Linked DNA regions of Notamacropus eugenii. The protein of the gene in region 3 interacts with the protein of the main gene of each other region in a pairwise test. Links are inferred from orthologs where the notes say so. Each region holds a gene or a part of one and is shown on either strand. Other genes may lie near its edges. The genes, in order: STAC3, TBC1D9B, L3MBTL2 and PHF10.

Region 1 (7,102 bases), about 68 Mb from region 3:
GCACTTTAGGGTTTGCAAAAGGCTTTATATGTTAACTCATTTTATCTTCAAAACAACCCTGTGACTTGGGTGCTTTTATTATCTCCTTTTTACAGATGAGGAAATTGAGCCTGGGAGGGTAGGGTCCCAGCATCTGAGGCAGGATTTGAACTCAGACCTACCAGGTCCAATTCACTGCACCACCTTGCTTCCACTTGACAAAATATGCACTTGGCTCATCAAGGGTTTGATAAAAAGTCTCTTCTTTTAAGGCCTCTCCTTTTCCATGGAACCTTCAAATGAGGTAAAAATAGGAAAGGAATAGGACCGAGGTAATGTAAACAAGGTATACTGATTCCTATTAGGCTTCATCTTGTTATTTCTGCCTATCTTTTCAGCCCTAAGAGATGTTTTTAAATTGTAATTCTGTCAGCTAGCACACTGGTTACCTGTCCCTGCTTCAGGTCATCCACAAACTTGACAAACATGTTGTTCCAGGCAGGTCTAAAAGCACTTGGTTACTTCACAGAATCTGCTTTTTAAAAGCATTCAGCAATGCCTTGCTCAAGTCAAGGCACAACTAACATTTTCCTGATCCATTAGTCCAATGGCTTCATCAGAAAGTGAAACAAGGTTAGTTTAGCAGGAACATATTTTCCTCTTCTTAAAAGCATCCTACCTGATAACCTCATCATAATGCCCAACTACTGTTCTCCTCCCCCTCAATGGCAGTCACAGTCCCCCAGCTGTAGTTCTAAGGGATAATCTGGAGAATCTAGAACAGCTTTGTGGCAAAGTCAAGAAAATCTGAGTTCAAATGTGACCTCAGATATTACTTAGCTGTGTGAGCCTGGGCCAGTCTCTTAACCTTTGCCTGCCTCTGTTTCTTCATCTTTACAGTTGGGATGGTAATACTACTATCACCTATCCTCCAGGGATAAAATGAGATATTTGTAAAGGGTTTTGCAAACCTTAAAGCTCTACAGACATGCTAGCCATTATTTTTATTAGGCATTCCTGAGGGGTCTCAAGCAGGTCTCTTGGGAAGGGGGTGGGGCTCCAACCATGAAAGGGGCAGAAGAAGCTCACGTTCTTCTTGTCTGCTTGTCCCTTCTTCCGCTCTTTGTTTGCCATGATCACTCCAGTTCGAAGTGTCTCAAAAACAGGGTCATTTCGGTTGGCTAGGAGTAAAAGGGGGCATAGGAAAGAGAAGGAAACATTACTGACGAACAGGAAGAGAGGGTCCTCTTCTGTGGAAGACAGCAGGACTGAGTGGATACAGGTGGGGAAGGAGGTCTGAGAACGTAACAGGGAAGTGAGGGGGGAGACTAGAAGTTTTGCTTTCTACTTAGAACTCAGGGACACTTGGGCCTAGAAACAACAGGGCTGGTATTCAAGATAGGTATGGATTCCTTCCAAGAGTCTACAAGCTGGAGTGGCTAAAAATTTCAGGATGAGAATAAAACCAGGGTGTCTAGAATTTAGGCATCAAGAGACTTCAGTCTTAAGTTTCAGTTTCCCAAGTCAGGAGTGGTGCAGTCATGGTGACCAAGAAGCTTCCAGACTACAGAAACAATCAATTTTCTGGCATATTTCCCTCAACTGGGTGGAGGAATAAAGGCAACTTACACAGTAGGTCCTTGACACAGGCATACTGCTGGTCACTATAGAGTGGAGAACTGTAGGCTCGGCGGAAACCAGGGGGCTGTGGGGGAGACAGGAAGGTGATTGAGACAAGGGGAGAGGGCCCTGGACCCAAAAGCCCCCTCTCTGCACCCAGGAGCCTTCCTCCTTTATTCAGGGGGGTTTTGTCCTTTATGAGTGGGGCTGGGGAAGCAGATACCAAGGAATGAATGGGGGTAACTTATGAAGCATTCATCCAGAGTACAGATGTCCTCAACACTACCCTCCACCCCCGTGCTCCCAGACCTAACTCACAATCTTGCCAAAGCATCTCTGCATCTCCACAAAGGATTGGCAGTGTTCATGGATATTGGTTTTGCAGTTCTTGCATCGTAGCCCAAATTTGTTGTTAACTTGGTAGAGGGAAAGAACATTTGGGTGAGATCACGAAACCTTTTCTCTACTCCTCTGCTTCCAGCATCACCCCAATCCCGAGTGACTCCTCTTTCATTTCTTAGATTGCCTCAACCTATCCAGGCTTCTCTAAGCACATCCATTAACAGTCCCCACCTTCATCTAAATTTGTGCAATATTGATCTCTCTCCCAGTCCCTTCAACCCACAGTCCCATGACGCTCTACACATCCCATCTTCCTCTATTTCCCAGACTCACGAACAATCATTCTGGCACAGACATCACAGAATTTGGGCTTCTTGAAGAAATGATCTTTGAACTTGTGGGGCTTGTCATTGACAAGCTTAGGGGGTTCAGGGGGTGGCTCCTCTTCCTCCTCTTCTTCCTCTTCCTCCTCCTCATATATGTAGTAGATGGGTCCCCCCTGAGCCCCTACTGCCTCTCCATTGGCCTGGGGCTCAGAGGGGGGCTCCATCTCCTTTCTTTCTACAGACTCCTTCCTGAATAATTGCTTCAGCCTTTGTAGCTAGGGAGGAGCAAAGGGAAGATTCAGACTACAGTTCCACTTCGTTAGGCTAAAACCACCTGGGAAATGTTCTGGGTCAAGGGTTGAGATGTTCCCCAGAGGGGAGAGGGAGTGAGAGTGTGTGTGTAGGGCAAATGTACCTTAAATAAATTACACATAACTGAGATGAGCCCCACAGCCTCTAGTTCTGTAACCATCAGTTCAGATAAGAGTGGGGTTGTTAGTGTGCCCTCCCACCTATCAAAGCCCTGTGTCAGAGGCCCAGACTCACCCCACTCTTTGGTGTTTCTGTTGGGAAAGATTTGGGAGAATCCAGAACCTCTTTTTCTGTCATCCTGCAAGAGTGGGGATCCCACTGTTGATTTTTCATCCTTCCTTGCCACCCCTCCCCCCTCCCTTTCTTACTTCTAGGGACTCAACTCACCTTGTAGGATAGGACAAATAGAGCTTTGGGAAGAGAACTGCAGGTCTCTTAAGCTGAGACACACAAAGGGGGTCTCTATCTCCCTCTTCCAGAATGAGAGACTAATAAACAAAGGAGCCTAAACAAGGAGACTCCATATAAGGGCCCAGACTGGGAGATGACCGAGGTAGGCCTACGGAAGACAGCCTCCATTCCCTTGTAGAAGTTCCATCAAGACAGACTTCTCATTTTGAGGCTTTCTCTTTTCTTCAAGGCTATAGGCAGTTGTATATGACCCTATGTAACCTTTCCCTGGATTCCTTTTCTCCCTCCCCCAAATTCTCACTTTGAGAAAAGAGGTAGAGAATTCCCGCTCCCCTCATTTCTCCAAGCCTGGGGGTGGGAGTGCGTTTTAACACTACCTCTAGGTCAGGCCCTGCCCCAGCCTGCCTTGGGGGTTGGCTATTTTTAAGTTTTCAATGTAATATGACCTCCCTTCTCTACTACTCTATACCCTGGACATTAACTCCCCAACCCTCTTTCCTGATCCCAGCCCTTTCTTCAGGGAAAGAAATGACTGGAACTGGTACACCCCAGACTACTTAACAGCCAGGTAAGGCAAACGGGAGAGGTGAACTGGCTGAGAGATGTGGGAGCCCAAGGAGTCACTGTCTGGTAAGTCGTAAGAAAAGGCAACTTACGTTTGGGATTCCCTATGTCAGTCCACAGCCAGTGGAGGTAAGAGGATGCCAGGTTAGGAGGCTTGGTGTTGGTGTTGGATGGGAATGGAAAAAGAAGGCTTTGTCCTCTTGCCCGGGGGGCTTTATACCCCCAAAATACCCTTGGTGCTCACGTCTCCCCAGCTGGTGCGTGCAGACCTAGCCTCTCCCTTCAGCGTCACAGCTTAAGTGACAGGGCTAGAGGAGAGTGGACAGCTGAGCAACACAGCTGACACAGAGAAATTGGAAACTAAAAGGCCTGGGGCAGTGTTGGACCCTGACCTCCCTCCCCCAAATCTCTTCAGCCACAACTGGCTGAGATAACAGCTGCCCTATCCCCACCCCTTCACCTATGTTCAGTATAGTAGTAACTAAATGCTTTACAGGACAATTCCGCTCATATTTTGTGCCCCTTTAGGAGGGATTCTGGAAAGTTGATTGGAGTAAAAAAGGTTACAACCTGCCCCTCCTCCACTTTGAAAACTAAACACTTTCATCATTTCTATCTACTCCGGACCCACCCTTAGAAGCCATAGGCTACTGGCTTCAACTCCACCTATTCACATCATCCTTCCCCAAGTCTTTGTAGGGCACCTACATTTGAATATATCAAGGGTGGCTTTTTGTCCCTTTATGAACACTTCAGGCAGATGTAGTCCTAGGCTGAGAACTGGGGTGGGAGATAAAAGAAAGACAACTCAAGTTCACAGGGTTACTTCTCAACAAGATATGGCTGCTTCCTCATCCCTGGTGAGGGGAAGGGGATAGCTTACCTGTCTTGCAAAGAACTGTACAATCTAATATGGCCCCCTTTCTTGAATCGTATCTGGACATTCATTCCCCGCAATCTCCCATCCCAACCACGCTGGCAGGGAGCCCGAGTGTGACTGAAAGTGGTCTAGGATCCATATGGGAAAAGGGAATGAAGAATCTCAACAACCCAATGACCAGATGGGGGTGGGGGGGAGCTGCCTCCATGTTTACAAGAAACAACAATGGAGAGATAGTTTCAGCTACTTAAGAAAATGTCCTCATAACTAGTGTATCGCCAGACCTCTATTTCCTGACCCTCCCACCATGTTAGTCAAGAAGACTTTAGGGGCAAGATGGCCCTCCCATTCCCCCTCTCTCTGATGGTTCTCAACATCCTGATTCCCCTTCCCCCACACCAGAATGCCCCAGAACATGGACTTCACAAATATGGCCAATTTGTACCTGAAGTGCATGTCACAGGATCATAGGGTAACAGATTTCTAGAACTGGAAGAGACCTGAAAGGTCATCTAGTTTGACCCCCTCATTTTAAAGATGAGGCCACTGATACCAAGAGACCTTGTGACTTGCCCAAGATCACCCAGAGAGTAACAGAGCCAGCAGAGCTGGAATTCTAACCTAAGGCCTCTGACTCCAAGTCCAGGGCTCTCTCCACTGTACCAAGCCATTCTTCTTCTATTAGTTTGGGTAGGGGGATAGCTTGGCGGGGAGATACTCCTACCACAGCAGAGAAATTGTTAATGACAACATATTGCCTCACCAATTCCAAGTATGAAGTATGAAGACCCTCTAACAGCTGGATTAGACTGGAGGGTCAGAAAAAACCCAATAGAGAAGCTACCTAGCCCCAAGTGAAAGCTCAGGCTGTTCAACCCATTTCTGTTCCTTTCTACATGGGGTCCAGTGGGGTCAAAGATCGCCAGTAAGTTTCTGGCAGTGAGGTTTTGTGTAGGCTGAACTTGAAGGTGGATCTACTTCTAGGCATCTGGGTTCTTAAGATATCTTAGGATCGAGGGCAACTTAAGGAAAATGAGATTTACTGAGAGGCATGAGGATCAAAAAGGGGTATGTGGCGATATAGCATAGGGCTAATTTGTTAGGTATGACTTTTCTTTCTCCTGTATGTAGGAAAGGGGATGCTGAGACTATCCTGACTGACTGAGGAAGTCAAAATACTGCAGGTTCTGGAAATGCAGCTTTTATTGCAGGGAACACTTACTCCCCTATTACCTGCCAGCACAGTATTAAAAAAGACTTCAGGGGGAAAGTGGAAGATGAGGGCTGGGCCAGAAACTCAGCTGCATTCATGTCCTCACTTCATACCTGCCCCATCAGGGACCTGAAGCCAAAGGTTTAGACACCTACAGGAACAGGTGGAGGATTGATGGGAGAATGAAAGAGGGTGGCAGGATCACATCCATTTGGAAGGCAGCTCCACTCCACTCTATCCCAAATCCTTCCCTGCAACCCCCTCCCAAGGGCAGTAACAGAGAAACCAGGACTGACGTCCAGTGACAGATGATTTTTTTTTATATTTAAAAACAAAACAAAAATAAAATAAAATAAAACCCCCCAAACAACCCCCCAAAACAAACAAAAAACCCAGATTAAATAAAATTTACAGTGAACATACCCAGCAAACATCTGTATGTGCAATTAAATACTGTGTCTGTTACTGCGGCACGAACCTCAAACAAACAATATACAAGTGTTCTGGGGGGCTGGGGTGGATAGAGGAGGGGTAGGCACAGGTTTAACTCATGGGATAGGGGAGACAAGATGGTGGGGAAGTGAAAGGAGGGGGAAAATCAATTTATTTTTTTCTTCTTAATTCTGTCCATATAAATATATTCATAAAGACCAAAAAGAGGAAGAGGAGATGGGGTGGCAGGAGAAGGGGAGGAATGGGGGAGTGTAGGACCCCTCCATACTACCCCTCCAAAATGAAAGAAATGCATTGGAGGCCAGGATGGGGAAAAAGGGATGTCCAAAAAAGGAGGGAGAGGATTGGAGGGAAAGGGAGGCAGAGAGGAGAGGTGCCACCCAGAGAAAGAGAGGGAAAAGGTGGCAAAGAAAACCCCAGACTGAGTCCTCTGTGTGTGTGTGTGTGTGTGTGTGTTTGTGTGTGTGTGTTTGTGTGTGTTTGTGTCTGCCTGTCTCACTGTCTATGGCCTCAGTCTCCATATCTATGTCTTATCTCTATGCATGTCTCATGTCTGTCTGGATCAGCATCTCTATCTGTGCTTTTTCTGCATCCCTTGCCCACACCACCCTGCCCCAACCCGTGGTGCTGGCCTCTTCCCCTCCTCTGCCTACTGGGAGCTGGCCCGCTCCAGGATCCTCAGGTCATAGTTCTTTTTGGCCACTCGAAGTTTGAAGCGACTCACGGAGTTGTTGAGGCGGAGGGAGGCATTCTGGGCCGCCAGGGGGCTGGGGAACACAGCCACGATGGTGTATAAGGCAGCGAGGTCTGTGTGCCGGCCATTCTCGGCAGTCCCATTGTTGTCCCCCCCACCCCCCCCACCGCCCCCGCCCCCGCCGCCTGGCAGCCCCTGAGCGTCCTTGAGCCACTGGATCTTGGCGCCGGACATGGCGAGCTGCGTGAAGAGTTTGTCGGCCTCTGTGCGGGTGATGCCCTCAGGGAGATCTGTCACCTCCAACACCC
Region 2 (7,925 bases), on a different chromosome or scaffold from region 3:
AACCAATCAAATATTTTTATTGATGTGTTCCCCCCACTTTCTGACATCAAATTCATTTCCCAATTATTCTGTGTTCCCTTCATCCTCTTTACTTCTCCTATTACCATAGACCTTTCCCCTGTAATGAAGAAGGACAAGTCAAACAAAACAAGTCAACATATTGGTGATATCTGATGACAAATACTTCATTTTCCAGTTACAGTCCATTTCTCCACTGAGAAAAAGGAAGCATGCTTCCCTATCAGAAGACCAATTTTTCTTTTAGTTCTATTTCTGTACTTATCTATTTAAAATTTGGTGACTCCATAAAGATAGAAGTAGCCAGTTTTTCCTGACCATGCTTCTAACACAAATTAGTGTAGTGCTAATTTATTATTCTAGCACTTACCTAGGACCTAAGGTTGGGTTTCCACAGAAATTCATTTTCTAGATTACCAAATCTTATCCCTTTAGTTGTTCAAACTTGCTTTATTTTAAACATTATGGATACAAATGTTCTAAAATGCAGGAAATATATCCCTGCCTTCTTAAACAGAGAATACTGAGAATAACATTTTGAGAGTACACAATAATTGATGTATAATTCTGCATAAAAATTAGTCTTTTCTCAGTGACTAAGGGTTATCATTATGAGTGCCAATGACTATGCTCTAACTGTAATGAAATCATTCCCCCAAGGCCTACGGAAGTTTATGGAGCTCTTGGCTAGGCCAAATGGCTTTGGACTGGGTTGGGCTGTTTTTTTCTGTCTCTTTCTGGCTATCAGTTATCTCTTCTCATTGTTACATTTCCCCATAGTCTTTGTGCTCCCACTAGCTACTATTCTCACATCATCTAATCATTCATTCAATACTTTTAAGAGCCTATTGCATTGAGAGCACTCTTTTGAGTATGGGATACAGTTTAGATAAAATATGATATCTGCCTTCATAGTCTATTAGGGAGAAAAGGATCTAAATTATGTATCTAAAATATGTAATATGATCTAAATTCATCAAAGAGTTGAAAAACAAAATACCATGAGGTGTTAAAAAGTCATTAGAACCAAAGAAAGATTTCTGGGAGGAGGTATCATTTGAATTGGGCTTTCAAGAAGAGTCATGCAGGAAGAGCATAGAGCACATCCAGGATAAAGATATTGGAGGAGGAAGGCCCGGTTCATCAGAGGCACAAAGTACATGATGCTGATCTGAAGGTCTTTGCTTTTTTCTGGTTGGGGGAACATTCCATATGTTTGAGAATACTAGATGTCTGACCTCTGGAAAAGTGGGAGTGTTAAATGTACTGCGTTTCTCACTATATAACTACTTTATACAGTCATAATTTCTTCTTTATGGTCTTTATTTGTTCTATCTATAAGTGACTAGTCTTTCCTTTTCCTATAACATTGGCACGGAAGCATGTACTGCTTATAGAGACAGGTTGAATAATGATTCCTGTGAAGTGGTCATATCATTTGAATGTTCCAAGTTATAATTACATGTAAAATATGGTTACTGGTTCCAGCCCAATGGAAATATACAATGACAATTTGAATGTGACCTCTTCCTTGGGTTTACTGTTCAGAGACTGGGACCTAGCTGTATTACCTTAACTTCTAAAGGATCCCAAAGCACTTTTGAGATATCTATCAGCATTCACTTCATTATTTAATTCTTTAACAAATCATTTCTTAGGCACCTGAGTATAGGGAAAGTTTAGATGAGAACATAGCTGTATGAGAAAGACAAATGAACAAAAACTGTATGAGAGAGATATACGCAAAGAGCTCTGTGAGGTCCAAGGTCATGATCAACAGCAGGATGAGAACAGAGGACTGGGGCACTTTCCCTGTCTCTCCACCGCGATGTACCCCAAAGTACAGAGCACTGGAAATCTGTTCAACAAAACTCCATCGCTTTAGCCTGGGGCTGGAAATTCAAAATCTAACATGTCGACCAAACGATTTTGTACCAAAAGTTCGGCAGGAGCTAAAGTCAACCAAACCGGTAGAGAATTTCAGGGAGTAGAACAATTAGCTGGTGTGAGATCTGCCTGGATTCTGGAGCTAATACTTCGGTATTTCCGGGGATTAGCACCGACTTTTCACATAGGAAGGTCAAGTTCCTCCCCTGATTCTCATGACCAGGCTAAGACGTTCAGGGGGGGCAGATGTTACTGGAAGGCACCCTTGACATCTGGGAGAAGCCACAGCTGACTGAGAGGAAGAGCCAGAAAACTACAAACAATTTCCCCTGGGGATGTACCCAGGCCATCAGGCAGCCCAGTAACCTCCCCTCCCGTGTTGGGAGGCGACAAGCCAGGCCTGCTGACGGGGGGCTCTAGTGGCATCCCCCGCCCGGGGCGGAGGGGAGATCCTGGGCTTCGCTGAAGCCCCAGCGCTCTCCAGACAGCTCGGGGGGCGGGTCCGGAGGCCCTCCGCGGCCAGGACCTGCTCGGGAGCTCAATTTCCCCATCGGTATAACCGGCTGGACACATGGCACGCTCCCTAAGCAAGCTGGCACCTCTTGATTCTTTCCCGAAGGATCCGGGGACCCCCGCGGCAGCCTCTCCCCCTCCAGGGGCCCCGGAGGGTCGCCAGATGTTCCAGGGCCCCGCCCCCTCCCAGCACTCCTTTAGGCCTCTGGTCCTCGCCCCTCCCCCTCTCCGGCGGCCCCGGCGGCCCCTCCGGCCCGCACCGTCCCCGGCCTGGGGCTTCCCCGTCCGCCGCCCCGGCGCCCCGCCGCCCCGGCCCTCACCCGTGAGGCCGCCGCCCTTGCCGTGGCCGCGGCGCCGCTGCAGCAGGAAGAAGGGGTTGGCGCGCTCTGTCACCCACAGCGCGTTGGCCACCAGCACCTCCTCCGGGCTCAGCCACATGCTGCCGACCCGGAGCCCCGCGGGCTCCCCGGAGCAGCAGGAGCGGTCGGGCTCGGGCCGGGCCCAGCTCCCCGAGAAAGCGGAAGCGAAGCGGGCGGGAGCACAGGAAAGAGCGATGGAGCGAGCGCAGCCGAGCGGAGCCGGGCAGGGAGTGAGGGCCTACGGGGCCAGGGACCCGGCGTCCGCACAGCGCCCCCTGGCGGCCTCTCGGGGCACCCCAGCCTCGCGCAGCCGGGCCTGGCCCCGCCTCCTCCCGCAGCCTCGGCCACACCCCCTTTCCCGGCTCTTCGCTCCGCCCGCCCCTTGGCTCTCTTTCCCCTCCCTCTTTTTCCTCCGCCCCCTTACTTCTTCTTTCCCCTCCTTCCCCTCCTTCCTCTCTCCCTCTCTCCACATTCTGCCTTTGCCCAGCAGGTCAGGCAGCAGTGAGTGCACGGGCAGCTCATGTTTCCGAGGGGGCTGAGGTCCTGGGGCCGTTCCCTGGGCTCTGAGCTTGGCCTTCCGCAGGGAAGTTCCATGGGACTGAGCACATCATTCTTGTCTCTCCTGTGTTTGGGTGTAACTCTGGACTCTGTCCTGAGGTCTCTTCTTTCTCTGTAGTCTTTCTTTTGGAGATTCCATCAGTTGTATGGGTTCAACTTTTGTATCAGTGTAAAGGCCTCCCTAAGCTACTCTCCAGCCCACATCAATATGTAAGAGATGAATTAAACTTACGTTTCCACAGAAAATATGTAAGATATGTAATACCAGTGATAATCATTTAATATCATCTTTGGACCTCAATAAGGGCCAGAGCCTGAACTAATCAACAAGAAGAAGAATCTGGACCTCACAGCTTCTTTGTACTCTGAGTAAACTTAGAGAGTACCTCTGCCTGTGTCAACAGCACCAGATGGGGCTGACTTAAGAGCATTTCTTATGAGACCCTTAACTAAGACACTTTCTTGAATAATGGGACTTTTTCTTAATATTTTGTGGACATATACTATGTTATGGCATGTTAATGGTAAAGAAAGCACAGATATCCTGGGTCTCAATTTCAATCAATACTTTGTCAACTCTCTTATCTTATTGTATTTACCACCTTTTCAATTAAGATATCACCTAACCTGTTTGCATCTTTAACCAAACTTTCAGGTCAACATCAGAAAGACTGCACATCAGTTAAGGGAATTCCTTTAAAAGAATTTATCTCATGTCATTCTATAATGAAAATGAGGAATGTGGCCCACGTGGGGTGGGCTGAATCGTGGAATGCTGGTCAATGGAGAGCAAGGTGGGAAATTTGAATTGGGAACAGCATGAAAAGGCTTGCTTTGGTCTGAACAAATGGAGCAGTCCATCAGGAACCACTCATTCATTCAGGGCGATGAGCTTTCCTGATTTCACAACAAGTATTGTTCTTTGTTTGAAGTATGTTTCTAACAATTAACTATTTGCTGAACATTTCCATATGGATATTCCATAGGTAGGGGTGTAAATGACAAATGTCTAACAACTGACGTTCAGAAAAAAGTATACAGAACGCACCTTTAAGTTTAATTTGCATTATTAACATTTTCTCCATCACTTAAAATTTTTTTCCCACTTAATTGCATTTTGTTTTTCCCAATTACATGCAAAATAGTTTTCAACATTCACTTTTGTAAGATTTTGAGTTTTAAGTTTTTTCTCCCTTTCTCCCTCTCCTTCCCCAAAATGGCAAAAATCTGATATAGGCTATACATGTACAATCATATTAAACATATTTCCACGTTACTCATGTTGTGAAAGAAGAATCAGAACAAAAGGGAAAAACTATGAGAAAGAAAAAAAAAAGAAAATAATATGTTTTGATCTGCTTTGAGACTCCATAGTTCTTCCTCTGGATGTGGATAGCATTTTCCATCATGAGCCATTCAGAGTTGTCTTGGATCATTTTATTACTGAGAAGAACTAAGTATGTTCATCGTATAACATTGTGCTTCTGCTCACTTTGCTCAGGACCAATTCATGTAAGTCTGTCCAGGTTTTTCTGAAGTCTGTCTGCTTATCATTTCTTATAGCACAATAGTATTCCATTACATTCATATACCACAGCTTGTTCAGCCATTCCCCAATTTATGGGCATCCCCTCAATTTCTGATTCTTTGCCACTACAAAAAGAGCTGCTGTAAATATTTTTGTATACGTGAATCTTTTCCATTTTTTATGATCTCTTTGGGATGCAGACCTAATAATGGTATTGCTTCTCCATCACTTTCTTGAGTGTAGACAATCAATAAATCAATAAATTAAGTCCTGATTTGTAGTATTTGCCAGTTTCTGAGGAATAAATGTTCACACTGAAAATTTAAAAATTGATTCTGGTGATGTAATTCAAGCTGGCTCCAGTACACCTCCTACTATAAGCATCTCAAACTCAAGATATCCAGAATAGAACTAGACACCCAGGTTTGCAGCCTCAGAATCAACTTGAAGGCCTTGCTTCCCACCATATCTGAACAAGTGCCTAAGCTTGTTCATTTTGCCTCTAAGACATCTCTCAAATTCAGTGTTCTTTCCATTAATATGGTAACCACCATAGATCAATCTTTCCTCACCTCTTTTTTTTAAAATGAATTGATTTGTTTTCTACAATCATTTCCACAAGTCTTAGATTCTCCCCCCCTCCCTTCTTCCTCCCTCTCTGAGACAGCAAGCAATCTTATATGGGCTTTACACATACTTCATTCATTTATTTATTTATTTTTAGTTTTCAATATTCATTTCCACAAGATTTTGAGTTCCAAATTTTCTCCCCATCTCTCCCCTCACCCCATCCTAAGACACCATGCATTCTGATTACCCCTTCCCCCAATATGCCCTCCCTTCTATCACACCCTCCTTTCCCTTATCCCCATCTTCTCTCTTTTCTGGTAGGGTAAGATAGATTTCTATACTCCATTACCTGTATTTCTTATTTCCCAGTTGCATGCAAAAACAATTTGCAACATTCATTCCTAAAACTTTGAGTTCCAACTTCTCTCCCTTTCACCCTCCCCACTCATCTCTGCTGAGAAGGCAAGCAATTCAATATAGGCTATACATGTGTAGTTACGCAAAAGACTTCCATAATAGTCATGTTGTGAAAGATTAACTATATTTCCTTCCATCCTATCCTGCCCCCCATTTATTCCATTCTCTCTTTTGACCTTGGCCCTCCTCAAATGTTTACTTCTAATTACTCACTCCTCCCATTTGCCCTCCCTTCTATCATCCCCCCACACCCCACTTATCCCCTTCTCCCCTACTTTTCTTAGTGTAAGATTTTCATACCAAATTGAGTGTGCATGTTATTCCCTTCTTAAGCCATATGTGATGAGAGTAAGCTTTACTTTTCCCCTCTCCCCTCCCTCTTTTCCCCCTCCATTGAAAAAGCCTTTTCTTGCCTCTTTTATGAGAGATAATTTGCCCCATTCCATTTCTCCCTTTCTCCTCCCAATATATTCCTCTCTCACCCCTTAATTTTATTTTTTTAGGTATCATCCCTTCCTATTCAACCACATATATTCTTATTAACCACATTTTCACATTAGTCATGTTCCATAGAAGAATTAAAATGAATGGGAGAAACCATGGGAAAAAACAAGTCAAAATAAAACATAACACAAGAGAAAATAGTCTGCTTTCTTCTGCATTCTGATTCTATAGTTCTTTCTCTGGACTTGGATGGCATATTGCCTCAAGAGTCCTTTGGGAATGTTTTAGGTCATTGCATTGTTGTGAAGGGCTAGGTTTACCAGAAACAGTCCTCACACACTGTGGCTGTTACTGTGTACAATGTTCTCCTTGTTCTGCTCATTTCACTCAGCATCAGTTCATATAAGTCCTTACAGGCCTTTCTGAAGTCCCCCTGTTTATCATTTCTTATAGCACAATAATATTCCATTGCATTCGTATACTACAACTTGTTCAGCCATTCCCCAGTTGATGGGCATCCCCTCGATTTCCAGTTCTTGGCCACTACAAAGAGAGCTGCTATAAATATTTTTGTATATGTGGGATCCTTTCCCATTTTTATGATATTTTTGGGATATAGTCTTAGAAGCAATATTGCTGGGGCAAGGGGTATGCACATTTTTGTAGCCCTTTGGGCATAGTTCCAAATTGCTCTCCAGAATAGTTGGATCAACTCACAGCTCCACCAACAATGAATTAGTGTTCCAACTCTCATATATCTTCTCCAACATTTATCATCTTCCTGTTTTGTCATGTTAGTCAATCTCATAGGTGTGATGTGGTAACTCAGAGTTGTTTTGATTCGCATCTCTCTAATCAATAGTGATTTACAGCATTTTTATATGATTATAGATAGCTTTAATTTCTTCCTCTGAAAGCTGCCTGTTCATATCCTTCTCTTACCCAGACTGTTTTGTAGCCTCCTTATTGGTCCCCTGATCTCCAATCTCTGCCCTTTTAAATCTTTCCCCCCCACACAGCTACCTCATGGACAGTTCTGACCTTGTCCTTCCTCTGATCAAGAAGTTTAGTGTCTTCCCTATTGCTGCTATGGTAAAATATGTTTGGTATTTGAAGTCCTTCACAATCTGACTCCAGGTTGATTTCATACAGTTCCCTCCTCAGGCACTCTGTGTGCTGGACAAATTGGCCCCCTGGCTGTCCTCAGGACATGGCATTCCATCCTCTTGCCACCGTGCCTTTCCTTAGCCTTTCCCCCCTGCCTGGAATTCCCTTCCTCCTCCTCACTTCCACCCCTTAGAATCTCTAAATTACCCTAAGATTTAGCTCAAGTATCACTTCTTAAAAGAGACTTTTCCTGATTATCTTAGTTGTTGGTACCTTCTTTTACTTTTAATTTATTTTGTATGTACATTACTTTTAATTTATTTTGCATGTACATATCAGTGTACATGCTACTTAGGTAAGCCTCTCAAAGGCAGGGATATATTTCATCTTTGTCTTTGTATTCTTGTTGCCTGGCACAGTGCCTGGTACCTAGCCATCATTTAATAAATGACTGTTGTTGATTTGAACATCATAAATTAATTTAGTAATTGGCTAAATGGCAACTCTGTACCCTTGATAACTTC
Region 3 (7,059 bases):
TTCCACAGGCCTGGCCCATGACCTCAGGGGCCCTGGAAAGCACCTGGCTCAGAACCGCTGCCATCTTGGGAGCGAGGGGTGATGGGGCTGGGCATCAGCAGAGGAGATGTGGGGAGCTCCCCGGCTTCTCGGTCATTCAGCTCATTCTCGTTGTCACTGGACTCTTCCAGGTAGGAGCTGCTCTCGCTGCCCAGGCTGCTGGTGTAGCCCTGGAAGGTGTCGTAGTCCCCAAAGAGGTCCAATTCCTCCTCTTCTTCCTCCTCCTCCTCCTCATCTTCCTCTTCTTCATCTTCCATTCTCTCAGAGGAGGGTGTCTCCTGGTGGGAAAGTAACAGAAAGTGAGGACGGCAGACTGCTGTTCTACCGTGGGCTCCTTGAGGACAGGCCTGCCTTTTGTCTTCCTCGGAATTCCACAGGTTGGGCATGAGGACTGGCACATAGGGCCCACCTGGCACAGAGCAGGTGCTTAATAAATGCTTGCTGAGCACCTGGGTGTGGCAGGGAAGGAGGAGGCTTAGAGAAGGTCCCCAGGTTGGCCTCTGCACTGGGTCTCTGGTTCCCCGCCAATGACCCCCTCAAAGGTCCCAGAAATACTGTCCCATATGGACAATGAAAAAGGTGACTCTTTCTGACAAGGGAGAGCTCACGTTGGAAGCAGGAGAGAAAGGGGACATTTTCAGAAAGGAGGGTGATGTGAAAACACACACACAACCATTAATACCCCTTCTTCCCCACCCCCAACTCAACAGCTGAGTCAACAAGTGAAGTTACCCAGTATTTACTGAGTCCCTACCACTCAATACACTATAGCTGACTTTGATTTGAGTGAGGGAGGGCTGTGCACTTTCATCTCCTGAGCCATCTGGATCTAGTGGCCTGACACTCATCAGAATAACTGGACAGCCCTCTCACTCAAATCAAGGTCTGCTGCAGGAGTTACGTCATGATCCTCTTCAAGAAGGACAAACACAAGAACTACACACTTAGCTGTGCTAAGTGACAGAGGTCTAAGAAATGATAAAGGGAACCAAGGGATTAGGAAGAGGTGGGTATGTCTGTCAGTCTGTCTGTCTGTCTGTCTCTGGGCACACTTCCTCATACACTGTCTAAAACTGAGCTTACTCAAAACCAGGTGTGAGGGGGTGACCAACTGGGCCTTTCCACAGTTGGGGTAGGGCAATAAGAGAGGAGGGGAAAGGACATGGATGCCTTCCCCAAAGCCCAAAATCACTAATCATAAGAGAAAAGCCAATTCAAGTAACTCTTATTGGACATGTGAGTCATAAAATGGGCAAAGATGACAAAGGAAGAGACCGGTCCCTGTCGGCGGGGGACCCCAATACAGTCTTGGTGGAGCTGTTCGGGAAGACAGATTTAAATGATTTGACCAAAGCTGCAACTCCCACCTCAGGCCTCCCACTAGTGAGAGGTTGACCACAGAAACAGAGGTGCCTCCTATAATAAAACAGTCCCAGCTCTTCAGGAAAGCACGGCGGGCCCAAGAGGGGTGTGGCGGAACCAAAGGTGGCCTGGACATGCAGAGTGACATGGAAAATGACATAGACGACAAATGCAGAGAAAACCTGGAAAAGACTCATAGGAACTGGTGCAGAGCAGTGGGCCTGCCCAGAGGCTCAGGAGCAGACAGAGGGAGGGGCCCAAGGGAAGAGGGAGTGACCCTAAAGACCCCCCCACCAAAGCTGGGAGCCTACTCCTGACTTCCACTGTGGGCCTTGCCATGTCTGGGGGTTCTGCTCACCCTTATTTCTTTTCCACCCACCAAGGACGCTGCTGGAGGGTGACTCGGGCAAATCTATTTTTTAAGGCACAAAAGGGTGAATTAAACCAGGATACCCCTGGTGCAGGAATCTAAAACTGTACCTGGAAAGCCTTCTAGGTGACTACCAAGAAGCCCCCAATCCCCTCCAGTTCTTAGAGAGGGTCATTGCAGTAACATCTGCAGAGATGACAAGAGCCGCCAAGGGACGGCAGGCTGGGAAGGGCCTCTGACTTCTGCGTGGGGCACACAGCAGGTGCTTAACACTGACTGCCTCCCTCCCTCCCTCCACGTGGGGTCAAACAAATGATGACAAGCACAATAAATACAAATAACGCCACCCCGTGGGGCCAACGGACGGATGTTAGCCCGGCCCAGTGCCCGGAGCGATGGGAGTCGGCGAAGCTCTGGTCTTAGTATCCAGGACAGGAACAAAAAGAGGCACCCGGGGGGCGGGGCGGGGCGGGCCAAGCAGCATTCATTAAGCACTTACTGCATGCCAAGCCCGGTTACCGGGAAAGCCCATCCGAGGCCCAGCTCTGACTGGGTGACCTTGGCTGGGTCTCGGCCTCTGCCCAAAGCTGGGGGCCCCGGGGGGCTTCGCTAAGTATGGGGGGGGCTCCCCCAGGCTGACCCGCCCCCTCCCCCACCGGGGCCCCCCGGGGAAGCCCACGGCCGCGGGTGGGGGAGGCGGAGGGAGTGCGCTCCCCTGGGAGCTCCCTCTGCTAAGGAAGAGTCAGGCCCCCCTAGGCCTGGGCGCGCCAGCCTCCCTCGAGGGCCCCGGACGCCGGGCCAGGCCTCTCCGGGCCTCAGTTTCCCTCTCTGTAAAAGGCCTGCGAGGTCACCGCGGCTAAGGGTCGCGGGCGCCTCTGCGGCGGGAGCAAGCACGTGTTCGGTCCCCCGCCTCTGCGACTGCGCGTGCCTCAGTTTACCCACCGTTAAAGGGACAAAGCTTCCCCTTCCCCGTCTACTCCTCCGCCCTGCGCAGGGGACCCCGGCCCGGCCCCAGGGGGCGCTTGGGCTCTCCGGGCCGGGCCCCGACCAGAGCACGCTCACCTCGAGGCCCCGCTCCATGAGGCCGCCTAGGCCGCGAGGCTCGAAGCCCGAAGCCCGAACCCAAGCCGAAGCCCTCACCGCGAGCCCGCCGCCGCCATGGCCGCCGCGCCTTCCGCCCGCACGAAGCCCATTGGTAGCCGTCCCGCGGCGCCAGGCCAGTCGCCGCCGAGAGCAGCAGGAAGGGCCGCCCACATCCTGGCGCGTGCTTAGATAGGCCCGCTAAGCCTTGTGGGGAGTGTAGTCCCGGGAGTGAGAAGGGGGCGGGACGGAGCTGAGAGGACATAGGCTGATAAAGCCTTCAGTCTTTGGATTGAAAGAGATCTCGGAGGCGGTGTAGGACAGCCCCTCATTATGCAGAGGGGGAAACTGAGGTTCAGGGAGCTGAAGGGATCCTAGGGCGTCAACTGGAAGGGATCTCAGAGTCTGTCTAGGCCAGCGACCCTCATTATACAGAAGCTGAAATGGAGGTCCAGGAAAGTGATGGATTCTAGAGATAGAGCTGAAAGGGATCTCAGCAGCCAGTCTAGACCAGCCTCCTCATTATGCAGAAGAAGAAACTGAGGCCTAGGGAGGGGAAAGGACTTACCCAAGATAACATTATTAGAAAAATCAGAGCCAAGATTTAAAGCCATGTGCTCTGACTCAAGATCAATTCATAGAATTACAGATTATAGATGACCTATAAATTAAAGAATTATAAATTACAGCTGGAAGGGACCTGAGACACCATCCAGTGCAACCCCCCCTCATTTTACAGAGGAAGAAAGTGAGGCACAGGATGAGGAAGAGACTTGTCCAAAATAATGAAGCTAATAAATACAGAGAAGAGGTTCAGAGCCAAGTCGCACCGATTCCAAGTTCAGTATTGTTTGCACTCTACCATTTGGATAGTGTATAGATTACTGACAGTGATCCCCACCCCCACCCCCACCACCACCAAGAAAAGGAGCTCTTTTGTGGTTTTGCATGTAGAATATAGCTGCCTCTGCTCCATTGGCCTCGCTCCTCTTCTCACTCACCTTCCAATGAAGAAACTCCCTCCACCAATGCAGATCTTTACCTTCTCTGTAATTTATAGTGGTTCGGAGCTGTCTGGGGCAATAAGGTGAATAGATTTGTCTAGTGTCATATATGGGTTATGTGAGACAGAAACAGGGTTTGAACTCAGGTCTTTCTGACTCCCAGGATTATTCTCTGCCCATTGAGCCTGTTGCCTCTCATAATCTACCTAACTTCCCTATTATTGCCGAGTGCATCACCATTCTCCCTCAGCCTCCCAATCTCCAAATCATCCTGGATTTTCTCATCCTCCTATATCCAAGTTGTCTCCAAGGGCTGTGGATTTCATCTCTATAGCTTCTCTTGTTGATTTCACCTCTGCAGCTTCTCTTGTTGATTTCACCTCTGCAGCATCTCTTGTTGATTTCACCTCTGCAGCTTCTCTTGTTGATTTCACCTCTGCAGCACCTCTTGTTGATTTCACCTCTGCAGCATCTCTTGTTGATTTCACCTCTGCAGCTTCTCTTGTTGATTTCACCTCTGCAGCACCTCTTGTTGATTTCATCGCTGCAGCATGTCTTGATGATTTTACCTCTGCAGAATTATGCCCCCTTCTCTCCTCTGACCCTGCCGCCACCCTCATGCAGATGCTCATCATCTTATGCTTAGACTATTGTAGTAGCTGCTGATGGGTCTGTCTGCCTCAAATCTCTCCCCACTCCGATCCATTCTCAATTTAACCACTGAAGTATTTTTTCCGAAAGCCCAAGTCTGATCATGTCATCCCCTACTCAATAAACTCCATTGGCTCCCTATTGCCTCCAGGCTCAAATACAAAATCAATACCCTTCGTAACCTAGCTCTGTCCTACCCTTCCAATGGTCCCCTGATACACACTCATTAATCTGATGACACTGGCCTCCTGGCAGTTCCTTGCACATGAACCTGCATCTCCAGACTCTGGGTATTTTCTTTGGCTATTCCCCCATGCCTGGAATGTTCTATCTCCTCATCTCTGCCACCTGGCTTCCTTGGCTTCTTTCAGGCCTCAGCTAAAATCCCATCTTTTACAAGAAGTCTTTCCACATCCCCCTTTATTGCTAGTGCCTTCCCTCTGTTGATTATCTTCAAGTTATCCAATCTGTAACTTGTTTGCTCATTCATAGTTGTTTGCATGTGGTCTTTCCCAACAGACTGTGAACTCCCTTAGGGCAGGGACTGTCTTTTATCTTTCTTTGTATACCTAGCATTTAGCACAGTCTGTGGTACACGGTGGCACTCAATATATACTTGTTGAACTGACTTGAAAATAATGATAATAGATAATGAAAATAGATAATGAAAATGAAAATAATGAAAATACATAATGATCTATTTGTTCTCCAGGCAAGCTCCTCTGGGCTAGACACAGAAGCAACCAGGTAAATCCTGTGCTGCCTGCCCTGTTCTGGGTGCCATAAAGGGTAGATCATAACATTATAGATTTAAAGTTGGAAGGGACAATAGAAACCATGGATTCCAACATCTTTTTAAAGGTAAGGAAACTGAAACCCAGAATGATTAAATCACTTGCCCAAGATTATACATTTAGTAAGTATCAAAGGTGGAATTCGAACCCAGGTCTTCCTGACTCAAAATGCAATGCCCTATTCAACATGCCAGGTTGCTTTACAGTTCTGAGTATCTGAATTAGATGAATTCAAAAGGAATTCAAAAATGGAACAAGGAGAAGAAGATCTGTCTAGGCACAAAAATTAGCTTGACCAAAGGCCTAGAGGCAGAAAAGCACAATATTTTCAGTATATCTCATAGTCCAGACTGACTGCTCATAGACAAAATGAGTGGAAAAGTGTGAGAAAAGACTAAATATGTAGAGTGAGGTTATGGTATAGGATCATCGAATTTGGTCCTTGAATGGTCAGATCCTCTTCTCCCAGTTATGAAGAAGACCACTAGGCCTTACCATCCACCCTGCTGCAGCACCCTAATAAGATTGCCTTCTGTCCTGCATCAGAATCCTCCTATCCTGTGCTTTCTACCTCCAGTTAGAATCAAAGATGTTTAGGAACAAGAACTGTCTCAATTTTCTCTTTGTATCCTCAGTATTTAGCACAATAAATATTTTTTTCAACTCTCTTCATTTTACAGAGGTTCAAAAGAAGGAAAATAATTTGTTCAAAGTCATTGAGCCTTGCCCCTCTGACTCCACTAATACCTTCAGACTGTGGCATGGTCCCCTCAACACACTGTTTCAGTCAAACTGGACTAACTGCCAAAAGAGAGAGAGTAAAAAGAGGACTGTACTAGTGTCTAAAAGGAGGAAAAAGGGAGAAATTATTATTTCATTTAATTGTGGGGGTTGAGAAGACATACAAACATAGAGGAATGGGTGGGGAAGTGGGTGTTTAATGAACCTCACTCTTACCCAAAATAAAAAAAGGAGGATGGAAAACACACACAGGCTCAACACCAACCATCTCAACTGGAGGAGGAAAAAAAGTGGTGGAGATTAAGAGAGAGAATGATGTTGAAGAGGGAAACATCATAAACCAAATAAATATTCTCATCCTGCAGGTGGAAAACAAAGGAGAAAAAAATAGACTCTACAGGGGTGTATCATATTGCCTCTTAGACAATTGGGGAATGGCGAAAAGAACTGCTGTTTGTGAATGTAATAGAATAGTGTTACACCATAAGAAATGAACAAAGAGACAGTTTCAGAGAATCCTGGATGGTATGAACTGATGCAGCATGATGGGCAGAACTAGCTGATAAAAGGACTACAACTATTTGTGAAGAAAAACAATTTTGCAACTTTGCACAGCTTCTTAACTCTGATCTGGAGCACAACAGCTAGACTCAGAGCATGGAGATAGAAAGACCTGAGCTCAAATCCAGCCTTAGATACTCCCTAGCTATGTAACCCTGGGTAAGTCACTTCACTTCTGTCTGTCTCAGGTTCCTCATCTGTAGAAGGGGGATAATGATAGCACCTACCTCCCATGGTTGTTGTGAGGAGGATCAAGGAAGATAATATTTGTAGAGGACTTAGCACAATGCCTAGTACATAGTAAACAGTATATTTTTAGCCTTTTTTTTCCAGTCATGTCTTACTCTTTGTGACCCCTTTCGGGTTGCCATTTCCTTCTCTATTTCATTTTACAGATGAGGAAAGTGACTTGCGTAGGGTCACACAGCTAGTAAGTGTCTGAGGTGGGATGTGAACT
Region 4 (7,896 bases), on a different chromosome or scaffold from region 3:
AAACTCATAGTTCTCACGGAAACAGCAGGCATGTCCATGTGATGGGAACCCAACCACTGCCTCTACTTAGCTACCTGCCCCCAGACCCATTCCCACATATTTGAACAGGTATGTTCTTGTACTCAATCACAATCACATCACCCATCCAGTCCAAGACAGGACCATAATACTTAACTATCTATCTTGACCAGACAGGACCACAACAGCTAGCCAAATGGAGGGCAGCATGATCAGAATGCTTAACCACTAAGCCACAGATGGGATCCCTCCTCCATTACCTAATCCCTTAACAAACTCCTTCTGCCTTTTTAATATTAATCATATTCCTATATTCTATGTAAATTTCTGTTATGTAATTATATCTTTACCCTACAAAAATCCATCTTGCTTTCTTGGAAGTTGCTAGCTCCTCTTGGAACTTAATCAGCTTTTTGAGAGGCGACAATCTCAATAAATGCCTATACTTGGATTAGAGGTAGTTTGACTCTGAATTCTTTGATACAGTTCTACCCCAATACATCATGAAACCAAAACAATTTTTGGTGTCCTAGAGTTGAAACCTCAACAGTTTTTTACAATTAGATTATTTAGTTTCCAATTAATTTTTATTCTCCCATGGTCTTTACTGAATGTAATTTTTATTGCCTTATGCTTTGAAAGGGGTGCATTTAACATTTCTGCTTTTCAGCATTTGGTTTTGAGGTTTTTAATACCCTAATCCATGGTCAGTTTTTATGAAGGAGGTATGTATAGCTGAGAAAAGGGTATATTTTTATCTATTCCCATTCATTTTTCTCCAGAAGTCTTTTATCTAACTGTTCTCTAACATTCTATTCATCTCCTTGAATTCTTATTTATTTTATGGTTAGATTTATCTAGTTCTGAGAGGGGAAAATTGGGGTCCCCATTTGGCACATATATTTTAGTATTACTATTACTTCATTGTCTATAGTTCCTTTTAGAAAGATGTAATTCTCCTGCTTATACCATTTGATCAGGTCTAGTTTTACTTTTACTTTATCTGAGATCATCATTGCTGCCCTTGCCTCTTTTATTTCAGTTGAAGAATAACAGATTCTGCTTCAACCTCTTTATTTAACTTTATACATGACTCTCTGTTTCAAGTGTGTTTCTCATAAGCAACATATTGTTGGATTCTAATTTCTAATCCATTCTGCTGTCCACTTCTGTTTTATGGGTGCCTTCATTCTATTCACATTCAGTTATGATTACTAACTGCATTTCCTTCCATTCTATTTTCTTCTCTTTATGCTTCTCTTTTTATATATCCCTCCTTCTAAAGTCTGTTTTGCTTCTGACAATTGCTTTCTTTTGTCTGTCTTCTCTTTAATCACTTCCCTTGCCCCTTTTTCTTACTTCTCCCTTTTTCTCATTGGGCAATATAGGTTTCTATTGCCAATTGTATATTAATTACATAAAATTAAAAGGTTTTTGCACAAGTAAAAGCAATGCAGTTAAAATTAGACAAGCAGATATGAGGAAAATATGTTTTCAGCAAGTTTCCCTGACTCATTTCTAAGATTAAAAGCCATTCCCCAGTTGATAAATGGACAAAGGATATAAATAACCAGTTTTCAGAGAAAGAAATCCAAGTTATCAAGTCATATAAAAATGCTTTAAATTATTAATTTGAGAAATGCAAATGAAAATACCTCTTAAGTTCTAACTCACACCCATTAGACTGATAAAGTTGATAAAAGAAAAATAAATGCTAGAGGTATTGTGGAAAAACAGAAACATTAATGAATTGTTACTCTGGATGGTGACCTCACCTAGACATTCTGAAAAGTAATTTGGAATTATCCCTCTGCAGCTACTAAACTGTGAATTCTCTTTGATCCAATGATACACAAAAGAGTAAAAGGGTTCATGTATACAAGAGTATTTATAGAAGCTCTTTTTGAAGTAGCAAAGAACTGCTCAAAAAATATTAAACTCATCAATTAGGGACTGGCTGACCAAGTGATAGTATATGAATGTAATAGAATAATATTGCGTTGTAAAAAAATAATGAAGATGGTTTCAGAAAAACCTGGGAAGCGTTATATGTTAGAACTGATGCAGAATGAAGTAAACAGAAATACAATTTCTATATTAACAACAATGTTGTAAGGACAAACAACTTTGAAAGATTTAAGATCTATAATCAGCACAATGAAAAAGCACAATTCCAGAGGACTTTTAATGAAACATGTTACCTGCATTCTAATACGCAGGTAGGTGATGGACTCAGTACAAATTAAGATAAATTTTATTTTGGACACAGACAGTTTGGGAATTTGATTTACTTGGCTATTCCTGTTTATAACGTAGGTTTTCTTTTTTTCTCAATGGGAGAGAAGATGGTATTAGGGAGAAAAGGAGGATCTTTAAAAAATGTGAATATTATGGTACAGTTAAGAAATAAGAAAAATTTGAAGAAACAAGAGAAGATTTACATGAACTGGTTGAGATAACAATACATATAATGACTACAACAACTTGAATGAAAAGATCAGTAAAACAAAGTATTGAGTAACTGAAAAACCAATAAAGGAGATGGAAAACAGATGACATATCTCCACAGTACCATGGAAGACTATAATGCATATTACAGCATACATTTTCAGATGTCACTATATTGGATGCTTTTACTTTGTTTTGATGTCTTTTTAATCACAGGGAAAGTAATCTGAAGGGTGAAAGTTGAAATGACAGATGCAAAGACAGGAGACATTAATAAAATGTACTTTAAAAATCAAAGTAAAAATCACTTTGTAAAAGTCAGCATTATTACAACTGTGTCATTAATCATTAGCAATTAGTGTGGGATAGGGATGGGGCTCAAGTAGAAAGCAGTAAAGAAGAAACATGTCAGACCCACTTAAGGGTGCACCTAGAACTGTGAGGGGGCACTTTAAGCCTGCCTTTAGGTAAATTCAGAGAATATGTTCTTACATATATTTGTTGTCTCTTCTTCTATAATGTGTAATGAGGGACTGACCAATAAGCTCAGTTCTTAGGAGTCCTTTATGAGTGCAGCAGCCTGGTCAATACAGTTCTCCTCATAGGAGAAGCTGGGGAACTTTCTTTAAGGAGACTGAAGTGCCTTGGAAGGACTCTGAAGAATGTGTAGACATTCTGAAATGAGTTTTGTTCTGCTAGCCACATGATGAATGGCAGCCTCTACGACTTACAGTTGAAGAACCTGATTCAGAGGTACATGCAAAAAGTTTTGGTCAGTTTTGGCTTCTCCTTTGTTGGATCACCCATCATGGTTTGACTCCATTGATAATTTCTGTTGTGTGTGTTTGTCCTTCCTTCTGAAGAAGACCATGCCATCACAGAAATGATGACATGACTTGCGCTTGACATTGCTTTGAGTGAGGGAGGCTATGCAGGTCACCAGCCTCACTTCTCCTCCAGAGCCATTTGAATCCAGTGACCAGATATTCATCAGAATGACTGGAGATGGCCCAGGATGAGGCAATTGGGGTTAAGTGACTTGCCCAAGGTCACACAGCTAGTGCGTGTCAGGTGTCTGAGGGGAGATTTGAACTGAAGTCCTCCTGACTCCTGCACTGGTGCTCTATCCACTGCACCATAAGAACTAGAGGTAGCTACAGCTGAAGAAGGTAGTTTAGCCTAGAAAGAGGAAAAATAAGGACATACTTAAGCATGAAGGTTATCTATCATCTACCTGATCTATCTGTGTACACCCCAGGGGGGGCATACAGATATCTATCTCTATCCCAGTCTGGGCTGACTGGTTGGAACGGCCCCAACTACACATACATCTATGTAACATGTACACACACGGTTACATTTATACAGACATGATTGCACATGGGCTCTCTGTCCCAATCAGCACCTCCCTCTCTCATGCGTGTGTGCAGATGCACGTGGGTATGTATGTAAGGTCAGTCACCCCCGAGTGAGATCGATCTTTCCCGGCACCAGGTGACTGGGGGCCTGGCTGTATTTGGGGACCCCAGTCTGCCGTGTACAGGTGCCCCCCATTGCTGCTGGGGCTCCCCACGTGCAGTCCCCTATACCGCCCTCTCGGTGCCGGGACGAAGCCCGCCGCCCTTTCCCGGGGTGTTTTCCGGCGAACAGGACACAATAGCAGGGAGGACAAAGGCAGCCCAGGGGCGGAGGAGGCCAAAGGGCCGGAAGCCGGCCGCCCCGCACCCCGCAGAGCCCTCCCGAGGAGGCCCCGCTCCGCCCCGGAGCTCCTAAGGCAGGGCAGCCTTAGGAGGGAGCCGGGCGGGAGGGGACGCGCCGGCCCCCGGACGCACACCACACAAAGGCGGGGCGGGGGCCGCGGCCAATGCGCAGAGCGGCCCGGCTGCGGCAGCGGCGGGAGCGGAGAACAGAGGGGGGCGGGGCCGCCGAGGCTGGGGCTGCGGAAGGAGGCTGGAGGGGAGGGGGCGGGGTGGGGAAATCGAGGCGAGGGGGAGCGGACCCAGCGGAGCCGGCAGCAGGATGGGCCAGGGGGCGGGGGAGCCGGGCTGCGGTGGGAGGGGAAGGGGGTGACGTGAGGAGGGGGCTGAGCCGCGATCGCTTCCATTCCTCTCCCGCTCCCCCGCTCTCCGGGCAGCAGCGGCGGCAGCAGCCTCAGCGGCGGCGGCGGGAACTGTGACTGTGACGGCGGCGGCGGCGGCGGCAGCAGCGCTGGCGGCGACCGTGGCGGTGACGGTGGCGGCGGCGGCGCCGAGCCGGGGGGCGCGCGGCGGCGGTGCCGGCCGGGGCTCGGGCCGGGGCCGGCCGCCTGGCAGCGGCAGTGGCGGCGGCGGCGGCGGCGGCGGCGGGCGGGCGGAGGGGGCAGGGGAGGGGGCGGGGCCGGGGGAGCGGACGCCGCGGAGGCCTCTCCGCGCGGCGGCGGCGGCGGCGGTCAGGACGAGGCGGCGGCGACGGCGGCGCCGGCGGCGCGGGGGGCTCGGGCTCGGGCTGATGGCGGCGGCGGCCGCCACCCCCGGGGCTGTGCTCTCCCCGCGCCTGTGCGACAGCAACCCGGCTACGCCCGGAGCCCAGTCCCCGAAGGTGAGCGGGCCCGCGAACGGGGAAGGCGCCGGCCTGCGGGGTCCCCGGGCTCGTCCCGCCCCTGGGAGCCCCTAACGGCGGCCCTTAGCCCTGGGGGTCGCCAGCCCCATCGCGGGCCGGACGGGGTCGGGGTACCCCGGAAACAGGTGCAGGCGGGCGGGGTCCCGGGAGGGTCTCTGCAGTTCCGAGTCAGGGCCACAAGCTAGGGAAGTTGCCAGGGATGTGCCCGTCAGCCTCCCCGAAAAGTCCGGCCCCAAGCTGTCAGCGAGCCTGGATACCGAAAACACGGAAGAGGAAGGGAGCAACCAGACGGGGCTTAACCCCGCTTCGCCTGCGGGTCGTTCCTGAGCGATTTTTAAGCCACCCCCCTCCCCCAAAAGTTCTCAGGTAGCCCCAGAAAGGAAGTCTTCCTCGATCTTGGCCCTTGCTTGCTTCGCCCCCCGGGCGGCCCGGCCTGGCCTCTGTGGGCTGGCTGTCGGCATCGTTTGGGACACCCGGGCCCGGACAGAAGTCTCCACAGTTCAGGTCGCTGCCAAGAAAGGACTTGGTCCTGTTTTTGTGCGGTTTGCTCAGGTGTATCCGGATATTAACTCGGATCTTAAGTTCACTGTAAAGAGTTTTTAAGCTCCGGATAACGCCGCAGAACTGGAAAGGTTTTGTAGCTAGTTACATTTTTGGCATGTCCACATGTGTGCAGTCACAAAGCCGTTGGAGTATTGAAGTAACACTTGTAATTATTTCAAGTTATTGAATTTATAGTGAGTCACTAGTTTACTGGAGAAGTTAACATAGGACCACCACAAAAGAATCTCATTCAGGAGACCTTTTTCATCCAAGACACCTTCAGTTTTACTCCGGAACTTTGTTTACAAAATGACCTTTTTGCCTCTTTTTGAAAAAGAGGGATTAAGTTTGTTTTGCTTGGATCTAGCAGAAGCATTGAGTGGAACTTGGAAAAAGGCAAATTTAGATTTCATGTTAGTAAAAAACTTAGAAATACCCAAAAGGGAAATGGGCTGTCTTGAGCAAAGGCTGGATAACCACTTGTGGGATTATGTTGTTTTGGGGATTTTTTCTGCATCCTTTTTTATAAGCACTGGCCAAAATTGGAATGAAAATTGCTCCTGAAAATATGAATAGAATATTACAAGAACACTTTTGCATGCATTATTTTGCTTGATCCTCAACCATTTGAATTAGGAAATTCAAATATTATAATCCTCCCATTATATATGACCTCAACACAGTTGAAGTATAGAGTCAGCCTTTCAGTTTGTGAGACCCACCCCACCTCTAACTAGCTTTATGACCTTGGATAAGTCACTCAACTTTAAGTGCCCCAGGCACTTTTTTTTTTTTTTTTTTAGGTTATACATTTGGGTGCTGATCTGCTTTAAGTGGAAGGTGTTTTCAGACTAGGAGGTCCCTGTGCAATGAAATTGAAAGATGAAGTTCCTTCCTCCCCTCTGGAAAATAAAATGCAAATGAGGAAAAGGTTCCGAGGAGTTCTAACTTATCTCTAACTAGTGAAAGAAGGGAGACTTCAGCTGTGAGTGACAGTGATAGATCTAAATCCAAAGTACCATATTGTATCTACACTATGATGTAAATGCCACGTATTTTATTTTTTAAACATTTGCCTAGATTTTCAAAACTGTGAATCTGAGTCAGCATTTTCTTTTTTAGAGAAGCTGACTAAAAAAATTATCAATCATGGAAAAATAAACCAGCCTTTGACCAAAAATTAATAAAGCATATGCTTAAGATAATACAAAAAATGGAATCAAAACTAGGGCATTTTGATATTTCTGACAATTTTTATTTGCATTTTTTCTTCAACTGGATTTTTTAAGTACAAACTGGAAAAATGGAGATCTTCCTATTTTGCAAGGGGGAAGAACTAAGGACAAAATAAGAATTTAAATATTTTTAAATGAAAGGGCAGAGAAAAATATCCAAATGAGCATATGTAATCTTAGAAGTTAAAAATACTTTGTGGCTTAAAAGTCATGATTAAATGTTGAAAGAGAAGCAAATACTTTTAAAAACTCATCTTGAGATCTAGTAAAAAAGTTGAAATACAGCAGTTAGACATTGAACAAACACTGTATTTCAGGCTAAGTACTAGGGATACAAAGGCAAAAACAGATCCTGCTCTCAAGGAGTTAGCCTTCTAAGGGGAGAGCCAACCTGTAAATAACTATGAACTAATAATAAAGTCAGTCATCTCAAGATTAAGGATGTAACCACTCTAGATTTGGAAATTGTCTTTTTTTTAAACTGGAATTCTTTTACTTTGAAATGATGATTTTATTGGTATGAGAAAATCACAAATCCCCTGAACTTTTCTAATGCGCTTCCTCTGGCTCTTCTAAGATTTCAGAAGTATATAGTAATACAGGGGTTTTCTATTATTCACTTTTGATTTTCACAGTAATCACTGACTTGACACCTTTTATAGTTTCTTAATCTTCATATCTTTTATAGCATTTTTTTGTCTTGGTAATATTCTGAAGCCAACCTTATAACCATCAGCAAGATCTCCATTGCCCTTTGAGTACTTGTAATTTTAATTTTCCTAACATTATTGTGTGTATGATTTGCATTGGTATAGCATCATCAGGAGAACAATGTATAATGCTCAAGAGATGCTAGATTCTAGCATCTGAACTTGACAGAACAAATCCCCTTAAATAAAAGGATCTGTTCTGTGAAGTTTGGATTCAGTCAGAGGGCCACACTTGAGAACCTAGAGGGCTATGCATGGCAGGTTCCCCACCCCTGTTTGCTAGAAGAACATCTGCTAGAGATCAGGCGTAATCATATTTGGAAAACTAGACTATTTAATTTTTA

Evidence for each region.
Region 1: the proteins of L3MBTL2 (region 3) and STAC3 interact in binary tests that used the Homo sapiens proteins (3 or more experiments, as listed by UniProt). The two-hybrid records come from large-scale screens. The link is inferred for Notamacropus eugenii from reciprocal best matches to the Homo sapiens genes L3MBTL2 and STAC3.
Region 2: the proteins of L3MBTL2 (region 3) and TBC1D9B interact in binary tests that used the Homo sapiens proteins (3 or more experiments, as listed by UniProt). The two-hybrid records come from large-scale screens. The link is inferred for Notamacropus eugenii from reciprocal best matches to the Homo sapiens genes L3MBTL2 and TBC1D9B.
Region 4: the proteins of L3MBTL2 (region 3) and PHF10 interact in binary tests that used the Homo sapiens proteins (3 or more experiments, as listed by UniProt). The two-hybrid records come from large-scale screens. The link is inferred for Notamacropus eugenii from reciprocal best matches to the Homo sapiens genes L3MBTL2 and PHF10.

What each region holds. Positions count from the first base shown.
Region 1 is NC_092874.1:232,680,172-232,687,273, forward strand, and holds the start of STAC3 (SH3 and cysteine-rich domain-containing protein 3), read right to left. Parts: upstream 3,009-7,102; 5' UTR 2,913-3,008; coding exon 2,814-2,912; intron 2,543-2,813; coding exon 2,275-2,542; intron 2,016-2,274; coding exon 1,918-2,015; intron 1,685-1,917; coding exon 1,609-1,684; intron 1,161-1,608; coding exon 1,069-1,160; intron 1-1,068. Other genes in the region: R3HDM2 (R3H domain-containing protein 2), read right to left, coding at 6,750-7,102. UniProt on the Homo sapiens protein: Required for normal excitation-contraction coupling in skeletal muscle and for normal muscle contraction in response to membrane depolarization. Required for normal Ca(2+) release from the sarcplasmic reticulum, which ultimately leads to muscle contraction.
Region 2 is NC_092872.1:416,422,789-416,430,713, reverse strand, and holds the start of TBC1D9B (TBC1 domain family member 9B), read right to left. Parts: upstream 3,019-7,925; 5' UTR 2,857-3,018; coding exon 2,739-2,856; intron 1-2,738. UniProt on the Homo sapiens protein: May act as a GTPase-activating protein for Rab family protein(s).
Region 3 is NC_092874.1:300,263,225-300,270,283, reverse strand, and holds the start of L3MBTL2 (lethal(3)malignant brain tumor-like protein 2), read right to left. Parts: upstream 3,019-7,059; 5' UTR 2,852-3,018; coding exon 2,834-2,851; intron 318-2,833; coding exon 44-317; intron 1-43. UniProt on the Homo sapiens protein: Putative Polycomb group (PcG) protein. PcG proteins maintain the transcriptionally repressive state of genes, probably via a modification of chromatin, rendering it heritably changed in its expressibility.
Region 4 is NC_092873.1:266,066,060-266,073,955, reverse strand, and holds the start of PHF10 (PHD finger protein 10), read left to right. Parts: upstream 1-4,894; 5' UTR 4,895-4,953; coding exon 4,954-5,043; intron 5,044-6,410; exon of another isoform or gene 6,411-6,592; intron 6,593-7,896. UniProt on the Homo sapiens protein: Involved in transcription activity regulation by chromatin remodeling. Belongs to the neural progenitors-specific chromatin remodeling complex (npBAF complex) and is required for the proliferation of neural progenitors.